Linked DNA regions of Sus scrofa. The main gene of each other region encodes a partner of the protein of the gene in region 2 in a complex. Links are inferred from orthologs where the notes say so. Each region holds a gene or a part of one and is shown on either strand. Other genes may lie near its edges.

Region 1 (4,758 bases), on a different chromosome or scaffold from region 2:
CTTAAGAATACTTCTGCAAGAAATTTCCCTTGTGGCTCAGTGGGTAAAGGATCCGGCTTTGCTGCAGCTGTGGTGCTGGTTGCAACTGAGGTATAGGTTTGATCCCAGAGCTGGGAACTTCCACATGTTGCAGGTGCAGCCAAAAAAAAAAAAAGAAAAGAAAAAAGAAAGAAAAAATTCTGTCAAAAGGAAACCTCTAGAAACGCAAAGTTTCCCTTTTTTCCTCCTCCATCCTCAAGGTTTGTAAGGAGATCCTCATTAGCACAGAAATGCAGGAATATCTGGCTGCCCCCTCTCACCCCACAGAGTGAGCTTCTACCTCTTACAGAAGCCCCCAGGGCTAAGAATTCACTTTACCTAAAAGAGAGTCACTTCCAGCATTTATCAATGCAGTGCACACTAACGATGACAGACCTGGTTAAACTGGTTGGCAGTAGGACCTTTCTCTAGTTCTATGACCTTGTCTGGAGCCAGAAGCAGGTGTAAACAGGTCATTGGAAATGCCTACCTGATGACAGAATGGATGTAAGGAAGGGTTGCCTAGAAGTGACAGACTCACAGTCCCAGCATGCTGGGAACTTGTGAGAGCTACGGGCAAACTCAGGCAGAGAAAGCTGTTAAGGGCAGAGCACTCAGTGCAGGAGGGAGATGGGACCTTCCTCCTTAAGGGGACTCAGGGAGCAGAAGGGGCAACAATGGGGAAGCCAGGAGACCTGAGGTCTAGTCTCAGTCATACTACTAACTAGCAGGTCACTTAACCTTTCTGAGATTCAGGTCACCCTCTGTAAAAGGTGGGGGTTGTATTAGGTGAAGGATGGCCAGTGGATGGTACATACCCTTCACCTCCCTCATACCTCCTGCAGAGGCTACTCCTCCATTGAATCGCTGTTTAGGTGTTTTTCTGCAGCATTCTAGGCAGGCACTTCCAATTCAGTTGGTCCAGAAGCTGAAATCTACTTATCAACCCCCCATTTGATAACATCTAAAGTCCCTTCTAGCTCCTGAAAAAAGGATTCCAGCTTTCCAACTAAGAGGGGATAATTTTCCTGATATAGTAAAACTCCCTCAAAAAAAAAAAAAAAAAGGAAAATGGAAATTTAGAGTCATAATTTTATACACGCCTCTTCCCCACCTGAGGCCAATCAAGGTCTTCCCAGGGTCACGCTGTCTTCCTTCTGTGCCAGAGATTTTTGTATCTGAGCTTCACCCTGTCAGCTCACCCGAATGACGGTATCCCAGACTGTTGCTTCTTTTTATCTAAAATAGCCCAGGGAGTTCCTGTTGTGGCACAGCGGTAATGAACCATGACTATGCGGGTTCGATCCCTGGCCCCGCTCCGGAGGTTAGGAATCTGGCGTTGCTGTGACTGTGGCGCAGCTCGGCAGCGGCAGCTCCGATTCGACTCCTAGCCTGGGAACTTCCATAGGCCTCAAGTAGAAATAGAAAGAAAGAAAGAAGGCCACACAGTACCTGGACGCAGACAGCATCAGAAATTCAGATAGTTGCAAATATGTTTTATTGAAAGAAGCAGTGAAGGGGTTAACATGGGCCCACCTCACAACCCACTCCTCACCCTCCAAACCAAGTAAGGGCAAGCCTCAAGCCATTGGCGCATGCTCTTGTTGGATAAGAGCCCTAAGTAACTTGAGTTGTTGCCCTCAACCAGGGAAATGTGTGTGTGATAAGAAACCTGACCTGAGCTATTGCCCTCAAGCCAAAGAAGCATGTAAACACATGTGTGAGGGGTGGGAGGTGGAGGATGAATAAGAGCCATGGCTACCTTAAGTTATTGCCCCCTAGGGCAAAGAAGCAGAGGGGAGAGGCAGATGCCTTGGTGATGAGGTGGGGCATCTCTCTGGTGGAGACCTACACAGAAGCATCGAAATGGACTGGCACGGGTGGGTTCCCCTCACAGGCCACGATGATGTGTTTCTCCTGCTGGCTGGCCTTGTATGCACAGTTGGGGTACTTGGAGCTGCCCGTCTGGCGGCAGTCTGTAATGTGCATGGTGGAGTTGCTCTGGTAGCAGTTGGTCTGCCCATTCTTGCAGTTGACATTGATCTGGGAGCAGACGGCCTGGACATCTGCCAGGGACTCGTGCACAAAGGTGTTCACCGGCTTGCACCGTCCTTGTGTCATGTTCCGGCGACTCATCATTAGGTTGCAGTAGTTGGAGCTGTTGCTGGAGGAGCTGTCAGGGTCCATGTGCTGCCGCTGGAACTTCTTGGCTGGTGATTCCTTGCCCAGGGAAGGCTGGACCCACCCCAGCACCAGCAGCACCAGGGCCAGCCACAAAAACAGGACCAGGGACTTCTGAGCCATGGTGGCCTTACTGCCCTGAAGGACCCTACCTGGGAAAAAGGGAGAGAGGAGGAAAAGCATTTAGCTTAGAGAGAGCTCTTGCTGTGGCGAAGCGGGTTAAGGATTCTATGCTGTCACAGCTGAGGTATAGGTCACAGCTCTGGCTCAGATTAGATCCTTGGCCTGGGAAACTTCCTTATGTCACAGGAGCGGCTATAAAAGAAAAGAAAAGAAAAAAAAAAAAAAAAAAAAAAGGAAAGGGACCCTAGCTCTTGCCTGTAGCCTCCCTGGCTTATAGTTTTCCTTTGGGTCAACCGGGAAGATGACTTTCTGTGAGCTTTGCTAAGTAATGGGGCACTCACATATACTCTTCTTCACAAGCCTTTGACTGCCACTCCCTGCAGAGAGGCCATCCTCCCCTCTGGCTGGTAACCCTGGAAATGACTTAAAATCCTAGCAGTCCTGTCTTTGAATACAGAAGGATTTTTGATATAAAACATATTTGAAAAATAAAACACAATTGTACCCAGTGCTCACGTGGCTCATTAGGAGATTCTCTTGAATAAAATCATTAAATAAACAAGCCAAATTTTGAAAAAGCCAAATTGTGTCCCTGAGATGACTACCAAGTATACATCTAGGGTCATTTTCGTTTTCGACAGAGCCCTGCTGTCCTACAACACGAGAGAAACACACCTCTTGGCCTCAGTGTGGGATAATAGCACCTTAAAGGGATGCCATTGTGTTCTAAAGAGAGATGCTTCCTCCCCCAGCTTGAGAGCTGCTCTGTCTCAGGCTGCATGGGCTCCCTCTAGCCTGCCTGCTCCATCCCTGCCCCCAGCTCTGGCCCCAGTCCTGACTCTCAGGCTAGCCTCACCCACCCTGACCGCCTTCTCTCCAAGGTTTAAGCAGAAGCAACTCCTGAGACCACCTCTTGGACTGCTTACCTGGGTCTCTGGCTTGGTCTCAGAGAGAAGGCGGTTTCTTCAATCACTAGATCCCAAGACTGTCGACTTTATACAGATTAAAAAGGGGCTTGGCTTTTGAAAAGAGAAGGGTGGGAGGAGCATCGTGTTCTCAGCCCACAGGAAAACAAGGACATTTTGAGGAAGGGGTGGGGAATCGCCCAGGCTGCCCTCTTTCCCGGGCTGCTGGGGAAAGTGAGCCTTTGCCTGTAAGAAACTTCCTTCCCATAAACAGCCGAGAAAATCACTAGAGCACTGATACTAGAACCCTCAACTAAGCCTCTTTGGGAGCTGCATTCACCAAAGAGCCCTCAGAGATTAGCAAAGGACACATAACACGCGATCATAGGGGCGCGGAGGGAGGTAGGTCCTCTCCCCAGAAGTCCTGGAGCTGCTTTGGCCGGAATTCCACATCTCCACCAGTACCTTTCTGGGGGGAGTGTGGGGAGAGGTGTCCAACTGCCCCCAGATGGATGGCTTCCCAGATCTGGAGAAGAAGGAGGAGAGGACTTGAATACAGCCCAGTTCTGACCACTTCAACACTCCTGGGCTGTTAAAGGTGGGTGGCCCTTATTATCTGCAGTGATCTCCCATCCTGCAGGTCAGAGTAGAGGAATGAAAGATAAACCAAAATGCAAAATCCCCTTTAAAGAAGAAATAGAAATAGAGAACATCACAGTTCTTGGCAGAGGAAGAATTTCCTCCTAGAAAGAGACCAATATTTGCTGGAAGACAATTTTATTTTTTACTTATTTTTTAAAGTATAGTTGATTTATAATATTGTATTAGCCTCAGGTATACCGTAAAGTGATTCAGATACACACACACACACACACACACCCTAGGCATATATATATATATATATATATATACACACATATATATATAGTCCCTTTGGAGTGAGATATATCAAAATATATTCTCTAGGTTTACACTGTCTCAGTCCAAATTCTGGTTTAGCATTTTAAAAGCTGGGCGAGTTTCCTCATCTCTAAAATGGGTATAATCATAAAATGTTCCTCTTAGATTTGTTACTAAGACAAAGTCAGGTGAGATGCCAGGGACTTAGGGCAGTACTTAGAAATCATCAGTAAATGATAATTCCTGGAGTTCCTCTTGCAGCTCAGTGGGTTAAGACCCCCATGTAGTGTTCGTGAGGATGCAGGTTCAATCCCTGGCCTTTCTCAGTGGGTTAAGGGTCTTGCCACAAGCTACATCATAAATTGTAGGTGTATGGATCTGGTGTTGCTGTGGCTGTGGTATAGGTCTGCAGTCCTAAAAGAAAAAAAAGTGCTAGCTCCTGTGACTGTCCTAAAAGAAAAAAAAGTGCTAGCTCCTGTGACTGTTCACTTGGGCTGGGGGGTTAAGATCCCTCCCCCCAGGGTGTGGTGTGGCCTAGCTTTTAGTTTCATGTTTCTGTATTTCACCCACCACCCAGGTTTTTTGTTTTGTTTTCGGTCTCTCAGTCTTTAGCTAGTACTCAGCTTGATCC
Region 2 (6,685 bases):
GTAGGTGTCGTACAGGCTGCGCAGGGGGAGGGAGGGAGGGGAGGGGGTCAGGGGGGTGGCCGCCCCGGGCCCACCCGCCTGCCCGGCCCCAGCCGCAGGTCACTTACACCAGCTGCTCCAGGGCGCAGCCCGGCTGCTCCAGGCTCCCCAGCAGCTGCAGGACGCCCGGGTCGCCCACACAGTTGTTGCTCAGGTCCAGCTCTCGCAGGCTGCGGTTGGCCAGCAGGAGCGAGGCGAGGCTGCTGCAGCCGCTGTTGGTCACCTCACAGTCCCCAAGACTGAGTGGAGAGGGGGGCGGGGTCAGGGCTGGGGGACCAGGGCCTCTGCCGCTGCCAGACGGCAAGGGGGAGGCAACACGTGTGCTGTGCCTGGAGCCTGAAACCCATCTGCACACTCAGCAAGTCCCCAGGGTCACTGCTGTCCCCAGCCACTGCCCAGCAGTCACGGGTGCACACGCTCTCATGGCACACTCACCAGAGCACCCGCAGTGTGGTGCCCGGCTGGCTCAGGGCCTGGCACAGCTCCTGGATGCCAGAGTCACCCAGCTTGTTGCTGCTCAACTGAAGTTCCAGGAGATGCTTGTTCTGGGTCAGCATCAAGCTGACGTGCTGGCAGCAGGCCGCCGTGAGGCTGCAGGACTTCACCCTGTGGGCAGCAGGCAGGGGCTGGGGGTGATCGCCGCCCAAGGGGCAGCTCGGCCTCCGTACCCTCCTGCCCTGCCCTCGGAGGGCACCTGCACCCCCGTCAGCCCCCAGCGCTAGTCCCACATGGGCTCTCCTGCCCCTGGCACTGCCTGGCACCCGCTCACCACAGGGACTCCAGCTGGCAGCCGGGCTGCAGCAGGCTCTCGCACAGCAGCCGGGCGCCCTCATCGCCCAGCTTGTTGCCCGCCAGACTGAGCTCCTTCAGGGTCTCCTTGGCCTGGAGGACACGGCAGAGGTCTCTGCAGCCACTGGCGGTGATGTCACACTCCCAGAGCCTGCGGGTGGGGGGGCCGTCACCGCAAGACCCCTGGGCCATGCCGGCCCCCCCGCCCCGAGCACGGCGTTGCCCGGGCACTCGGCAGCTCTCGCCACAGACCCAGGGCCCAGCCCGAGGCCACTCACCACAGGGTCTTGAGGCGGGAGGCGGGGCTCAAGAGCCCGGGGCACAGCTCGGCTATGCCCGCGTCGCCCAGCCCGTTGCTGCCCAGGTCGAGCTCCCTCAGCGAGGCCTGGGAGGCCACAATTCCGCACAGGTCTTTGCAGTTGGCTGGCGTGAGACCGCAGTTCTCCAGCCTGAGGGGCGAGAGGCGCCGGGAGCTGGGGGCCTTCCCGCCCCCCGCCTCGCCCCCCGGCGCCCACCCCGAGCGTACCTGAGCGTCTCCAGCTGGCAGGCAGAGTCTGCCAGACCCTGGCCCAGCACCCGGGCGCCGGCCTCGCCGATGTCGTTGTTGCTCACCGTGAGCTCCTTCAAGGCCCGCGTGGCCCTGAGCACCGAGGCCAGGGGCTCGCAGCTGGCGGCCGTCAGGCGGCAGTACTCCAACCTGGGGACGGGCCGGCGGTCAGCGCCTCACCCTGGCCGTGAGGCCCCGAGGCCGGCGGGCTGCCGGGCGGGGATGGCACAGCGGGGGCCGAGCCCAGAGACACCGCAGAGAGACCTGAGGCTCCTCTGCCAGGCTTCCTTCCTCTGCGGCCAACCCCATCCGCACACCCAAAGGGAGCAGCAGTGCCTGTGGGACCCCAAGAGCCCCCTCCTCCAAGCTCCCTGCAGCCAGTGAGGGGGGAGGGGGCTCGCCCAGGGCAGACCCTCAACCAAAACCCAGGGGCTGGGGCGGGGGGCTGCCTAGCTAGGGGAAGGGGGCGCACACTCACTGCAGCTTCTCCAGGTGGCACTGGGGGTCCAGGAGCCCCTCACAGAGCAGCCGCAGGCCGGCGTCCCCCAGTGGGTTGTCGCTGAGATGCAGCTCCCGCAGCGTGGGCAGGGAGCGCAGCGTGCTGGGCAGGACCCCGCAGCCCGCCTCGGTCAGGGAGCAGTTCTGCAGGCTGGAGCGTGCGGCTGTCAGCGGGGCTCCCACGCAAGGCGGGCCAGCCCTCAGCAGGAGCCGGGTGAGGCGGACACAGCCCCCCGCCCGTGGGGAGGCCAGGCTGCCGGGCCTTGCAGGAGGGGCTGCGACACGGCCGCGACGCGCCCAAGGGCCCAGGAAGGACAGGAGGGCTGCCGTGGGCCCGAGCCTCGCCCGGGGTGGGATGAAGGGCTGGCAGGCTCACCTGAGCTTCTGGATCTTGCAGGTGGGGCTCTGCAGGCCCTGCAGCACCAGGTGCACGCCGGCATCGCCCAGCTCGTTGGTGCGGAGGCAGAGCTCGGTCAGGGAGGGGTTGGCCCGGAGGGCAGAACCGATGTCCTTGCAGTGCTCCTCCGTGAGGCCGCAGTCGTCGAGCCTGCGGACAGACGGGCGTTTCACACGGCAGGCTGGGACCCGCCGAGGTGCGTCACCGCCAACACACCTCAAGCCCAACGGAAAAAGCACGGGGGTCACCTGAGAAAAGCTCCAGGATCCTGGCAGGCAAACGCGTCTGACCGCGGGGCGGTCGGCAGGTGCAGGCTGCTCTCTCCGCCAGGAGAGAAGCCACCTGGACGAGCCAGCGCTGCAGAGGGAAGCGCCCACCTAGAGGGCTCAGCGCGGCCAGCATGGAACATACCAGAGCAGGCCCCAGGACCACAGCCGCCCCATCAAGTGAAAACCGAGTCAACACAGGAGGGGGCAAAGCCCGCCCTTACAGAACGACAGTCCACACACGTGGACGGAATGAAGAGATTCAAACGCCCAGCGGAGCAAAGGCCCGGTGATGCTGCCCTGGCAAGACCCCCGATGGACGCAAAGATCAGGAGACAGTCTGCGCAGAAACGGTGTCGGCAGAATTGGAAGGCGGTTCGCAAGGCGGCGCTTGTCACTAACAGAGGGAACCCAGTAACTACAGTGGACATCTGGCGGGCACCGCCTCACCAGGTGGTCACAGGGGACCACGGGGGTGAGCGTGTGGCACCGCTGTGATGACAGAGCCCACGAGACACCATGCCGGGCAGCCCAGCACGTGGCTGTTAGCTTTTTGCCATGAACGTGTGACTCAACCATGTCAGAGGGACTCGGGTGCCAGAGCCCGAGCGGACTCCAGAGGCAGGCGGCCAAGGACAAGGAGGGACCCTGGAGACCAGGGGTCTGCAGGACCTGGAAAAGCTGGGCACGTGAGCTTGGACTCTGCTTGGAACGGCGCCCCGGGTGACGGCACCCAGGGGCCCCTGCACCGCTTTCACGATGCTTCGGCCAACCTACAACTTTCAAATAAGTTAAAAAGAGAAGCAAGCAGGCAAGCACTCATCTCTTGCCTCCGAGCCCTGAGGAAAGTCTCGGTTTGAGACCCTCAACAGCAGAAGCCAGGGGACGAGCTGGAGACCCCTGCCCTGCTCACCAGGCCTGGACCAAGGGGGAACACACATTCAAATGGGTGGAAAAAGGACAAAAAGAGTAGTATTTCGTGCCACACGAGACACCCCACAGTTGACATCGCGCCGCTGTAACTGATGTTAGCGGGAGGTGCTGGCCGCGGGGCCGCCAGCCTGGGGGCTCCTACCTGACCACCTCATACTGCTGGAGCAGCGGCAGGAGCTCTGTCCACCGGGCGTCGCTCAGCTGCTCGCAGTGGATGTCAAGATTCATGCCGGGAGGTGGGGTGCTTCCTAGACAGAGGCGGGGGGAACGTGTCAGCCCAGCGCAGGCTGGACTGGGCAGAGGTCCGCAGACAAGGTGGGGGGTTCCAAACAGGATCCAGGGGCCAACATTTCAGAAGCCAGAGCCCGGCCCTGCTGCTTCGTTTCCGTTCTGCAGCACCTTCATCCACGCCAGCCTCTGGGAGCAAAAACAGGGGTGGGCAGAGGGACGCTGTGCCCACTGGGCCCCCCAGCAAAGACCACCAGGGACGGCAGGGCTTGGGGACAGACGGAGGCCTCTCTCAGCGGCCAGCGCCCCGCACCCGGCCTATGCGGCACCTCCTGCCTGGGAGGAAGTTGAAACCAGCACTCGCCACCCAAAGCTCTGCTTCCAACTGGCCTGGGCTGCGGCGGGGGGTGGGCTGTGGGCCTGGACAGTGTGGAGACCCCAGGCAGGTGGGCACAGGGGCCTCAATCCGGGAAGTGCTAAGCAAACTCGGTGCCTGCGCAGCCTCCCCTCTAAGAACGGAGGACTGCACCGGCCAGGTGGCCACAAAGCCAGACCCCCTCCCAGCATGCCGGCACCTGAGGCCTCACCCCTGGAGCAGCGGATGGGAGGGGCAGGTGCCTGTGGTCAGGTGACCGTTCCCAGGGGCGCCACAATAGGTGCCCTGGACGGGACAGAGCAGGTGGGTGGGGCCACGGGTCCAGTGACCAGCACTCTGGGTGGCCACTGGGGCTGTCTGCTTCCATGATCGCCCACACAGGGCAGGTCCTCTGCGCCAGCTCACCAAGGAGGCTGAGAAAAGAGTGAGACGTCTGGCTGGCAGGCCTGGAACGGGAGATCACAGGCCCTGAAACCTCACCTGGGCCAGCACGGAGCCTGAACCAAAGAGGAACCAGGGCCCCAGGCAGGGGGCCAGCGGGAGAGGAACCCCCGGGCAGCCTGGTGCTGGGGCGGGGAAAGTGCCTGGGGGCAGGGCTTCATTCAGAAGCAAGTAGGAAGTAAAGGCTCTGCCTGGGCACAGCGACCCCAGGCTCCAACAGGATGACTCAGACCCCCCGGGGGTTCCCCCTCAGCCCCTGAAACCTGGATTCCTGAGAATGATACCTCACTCAGGTTTGCGTCCATGCCTGGCGGGCCCAGGCCTTGCTAAAGGGGGGCTTCCCCACCCCCCGCACCCCCGTCTGGTTGGGAGCCCACAGCAGGGCGGAGGGCCACCCCAGGCCAAGGCTGAAGTTACAGTCCTGCTGGGTGGAGGAGACCCCTGCTGCCAACCAACAGCAAGACTCCGGCTTGCTCATCCTAACGGATGGGCCTGCTGAGAAACCAAGGCCAAGGCGGAGGTAGCTGGCCCGTCAACAGCCATCACTGGCAGAGGCCACCCGGCCCTGCCCTTCCTGACCCAGGGCGTGGTCACCCAAACCCTGACTCAGAATCCTCAGTCACCACCGGAAAGGCTCAGGAGGGGGACTCGCTGGTTCCGACCCATTGAGGGGGGGATCCACTTAGGATCTCCAGCCCCAATAGCTCCCTTGGAGCTGCGCCCTCTCCCTGAATCCCACGTGACATTAGGGGACGCAGTGTCCAGGGTAGAGAACCACAGACCCGACTAGGCCCCGGGGCTCCCCTTTGCTTGACCCTCGGGGCCAGGAGGACACTTCTGAGCCTCCTGGTGACTGATCCCTTTGAGGGTCCGTGAAAAAGTTAACATCCTCCAAAGGTGCTGCGTGTACAACCATCCTCACAAGCCACCAGTTAGGGGACCCGGTCTGGGTAGGAACAGGCACGTGTCTAGCCCAATGCCTCGCTGAGAACCGGGAGCTCCACCAGCGGAGCCGCTCCCTAGGCCCAGGCACCGGGCCAGGGTCTCAACAAGGCCCCATTAATTGCTTCCAGAAGGGATGGGCCTCAGCGCGGAGCGGCGCCGGCGTGCGAGCCGCGTCTTTCCGCCTTCCCGGGGGCAGCGCCCGCGTCGCCGGCCCGCCCCCGCTCGGCGCAGCACGGTTACCCGTGAGAGGCAGGGGGCAGCGGCGCGCCGGGCTCCAGGGCCACCTCCGCGCCCACCCGAGACTCCGCATGTGTCCGGAGGCCGGGGGTCAGCGCGGGGCCCGGCGGGGGCCGCTCGGACGCCGCGCGGAGAGGGCTCCTGGCGCCCCGGGCCCTGCTCCCTTCTCGGGCCCGGGAACCCTCCGCCGCGCGGTCAGGGTGCTGGCCCGGAACATCAGCGGAGTTTTAACTGACCCCAAACGCCGCGGGGCCCCTGGCCCCCGCTTCCCGGCCCTCTCCCGCAGCGGCCGAGCACCGCGCCTCCTACCTCCTGCCGCCGCCCTCGCCACAGACCCAGGGCCGAGCGCGTTTTCACCAGGGCAGGGGGCGGGGCCATGGCCTGGGAGGGCGGGGCCACTTTCATGGGCGGGGCCTGGGGGCGGGGCCTGGGAGGGCGGGAGCCCGACCCGCAGAGAGGCCTGCGTCCGGGGTTCTCCCCTCCGTGGGGGTCGAGGCTGGAGGCCTAGGGTTTTGGGGACTCACTACGGTAAATTTAAAACATCAGAGGAGTTCCCTCCCGGCTCAGTGGATTAAGCATCTGGCGCTGTCACTGCTGTGGCTCTGGTTACAGCTGTGGCGCTGGTTCTATCCCTGGCCTTGGAAGCTCCCCATGCCCCCTCCCCACAAAAAACTTCCCAACAGGAATTTTTTATTTTTTTTAAAGCAAATATTTTATTTTATTTTAGTCTTTTTGCTATTTCTTTGGGCCGCTCCTGCGGCATATGGAGGTTCCCAGGCTAGGGGTTGATCCCAGCAAGCCCGGACCTTTACATCTTCCCACAGAAACTGGTTTTCCGTAAATCTGGTTATCTGTACATCTTTTGTTCCAACCACCTTCCCTTTGCTGCAAAAACTCATATATGCCAGCTTCCCCCCGGCCTCCTTGGAACAGTTTCTTGAGGCTACCTGAGAGGCTGTCTCTGGGGCTTAAGTCCTAATTTCACCCCA

What was found.
Region 1: the proteins of RNH1 (region 2) and RNASE1 are in contact, whole or in part, in a crystal structure (PDB 3TSR), measured with the Mus musculus proteins. The link is inferred for Sus scrofa from reciprocal best matches to the Homo sapiens genes RNH1 and RNASE1. Residues at the interface, in NP_001165571.1 of Mus musculus: Cys7, Asp32, Thr60, Asn89, Asp117, Glu145, Tyr146, Asn174, Glu202, Trp257, Trp259, Glu283, Ser285, Trp314, Lys316, Glu340, Glu397, Ser401, Asn402, Gln426, Val428, Tyr430, Asp431, Ile432, Tyr433, Trp434, Thr435, Asn436, Glu437, Arg443; in NP_035401.2 of Mus musculus: Arg26, Glu27, Lys32, Gln36, Pro48, Thr49, Gln53, Lys56, Arg57, Met60, Asn62, Gly63, Ser64, Cys65, Lys66, Pro67, Val68, Asn92, Lys94, Asn96, Leu111, Lys112, Gly113, Asn114, Ser115, Lys116, Asp121, Ala134, Glu136, Val143.

Annotation. Positions count from the first base shown.
Region 1 is NC_010449.5:78,211,568-78,216,325, reverse strand, and holds RNASE1 (ribonuclease pancreatic precursor), read right to left. Parts: upstream 2,355-4,758; 5' UTR 2,323-2,354; coding exon 1,867-2,322; 3' UTR 1,752-1,866; downstream 1-1,751. UniProt on the Homo sapiens protein: Endonuclease that catalyzes the cleavage of RNA on the 3' side of pyrimidine nucleotides. Acts on single-stranded and double-stranded RNA.
Region 2 is NC_010444.4:282,125-288,809, forward strand, and holds the start of RNH1 (ribonuclease inhibitor), read right to left. Parts: upstream 4,279-6,685; 5' UTR 4,265-4,278; coding exon 4,027-4,264; intron 3,718-4,026; coding exon 3,612-3,717; intron 2,421-3,611; coding exon 2,250-2,420; intron 2,025-2,249; coding exon 1,854-2,024; intron 1,526-1,853; coding exon 1,355-1,525; intron 1,278-1,354; coding exon 1,107-1,277; intron 980-1,106; coding exon 809-979; intron 646-808; coding exon 475-645; intron 279-474; coding exon 108-278; intron 17-107; coding exon 1-16. UniProt on the Homo sapiens protein: Ribonuclease inhibitor which inhibits RNASE1, RNASE2 and angiogenin (ANG). May play a role in redox homeostasis. Required to inhibit the cytotoxic tRNA ribonuclease activity of ANG in the cytoplasm in absence of stress.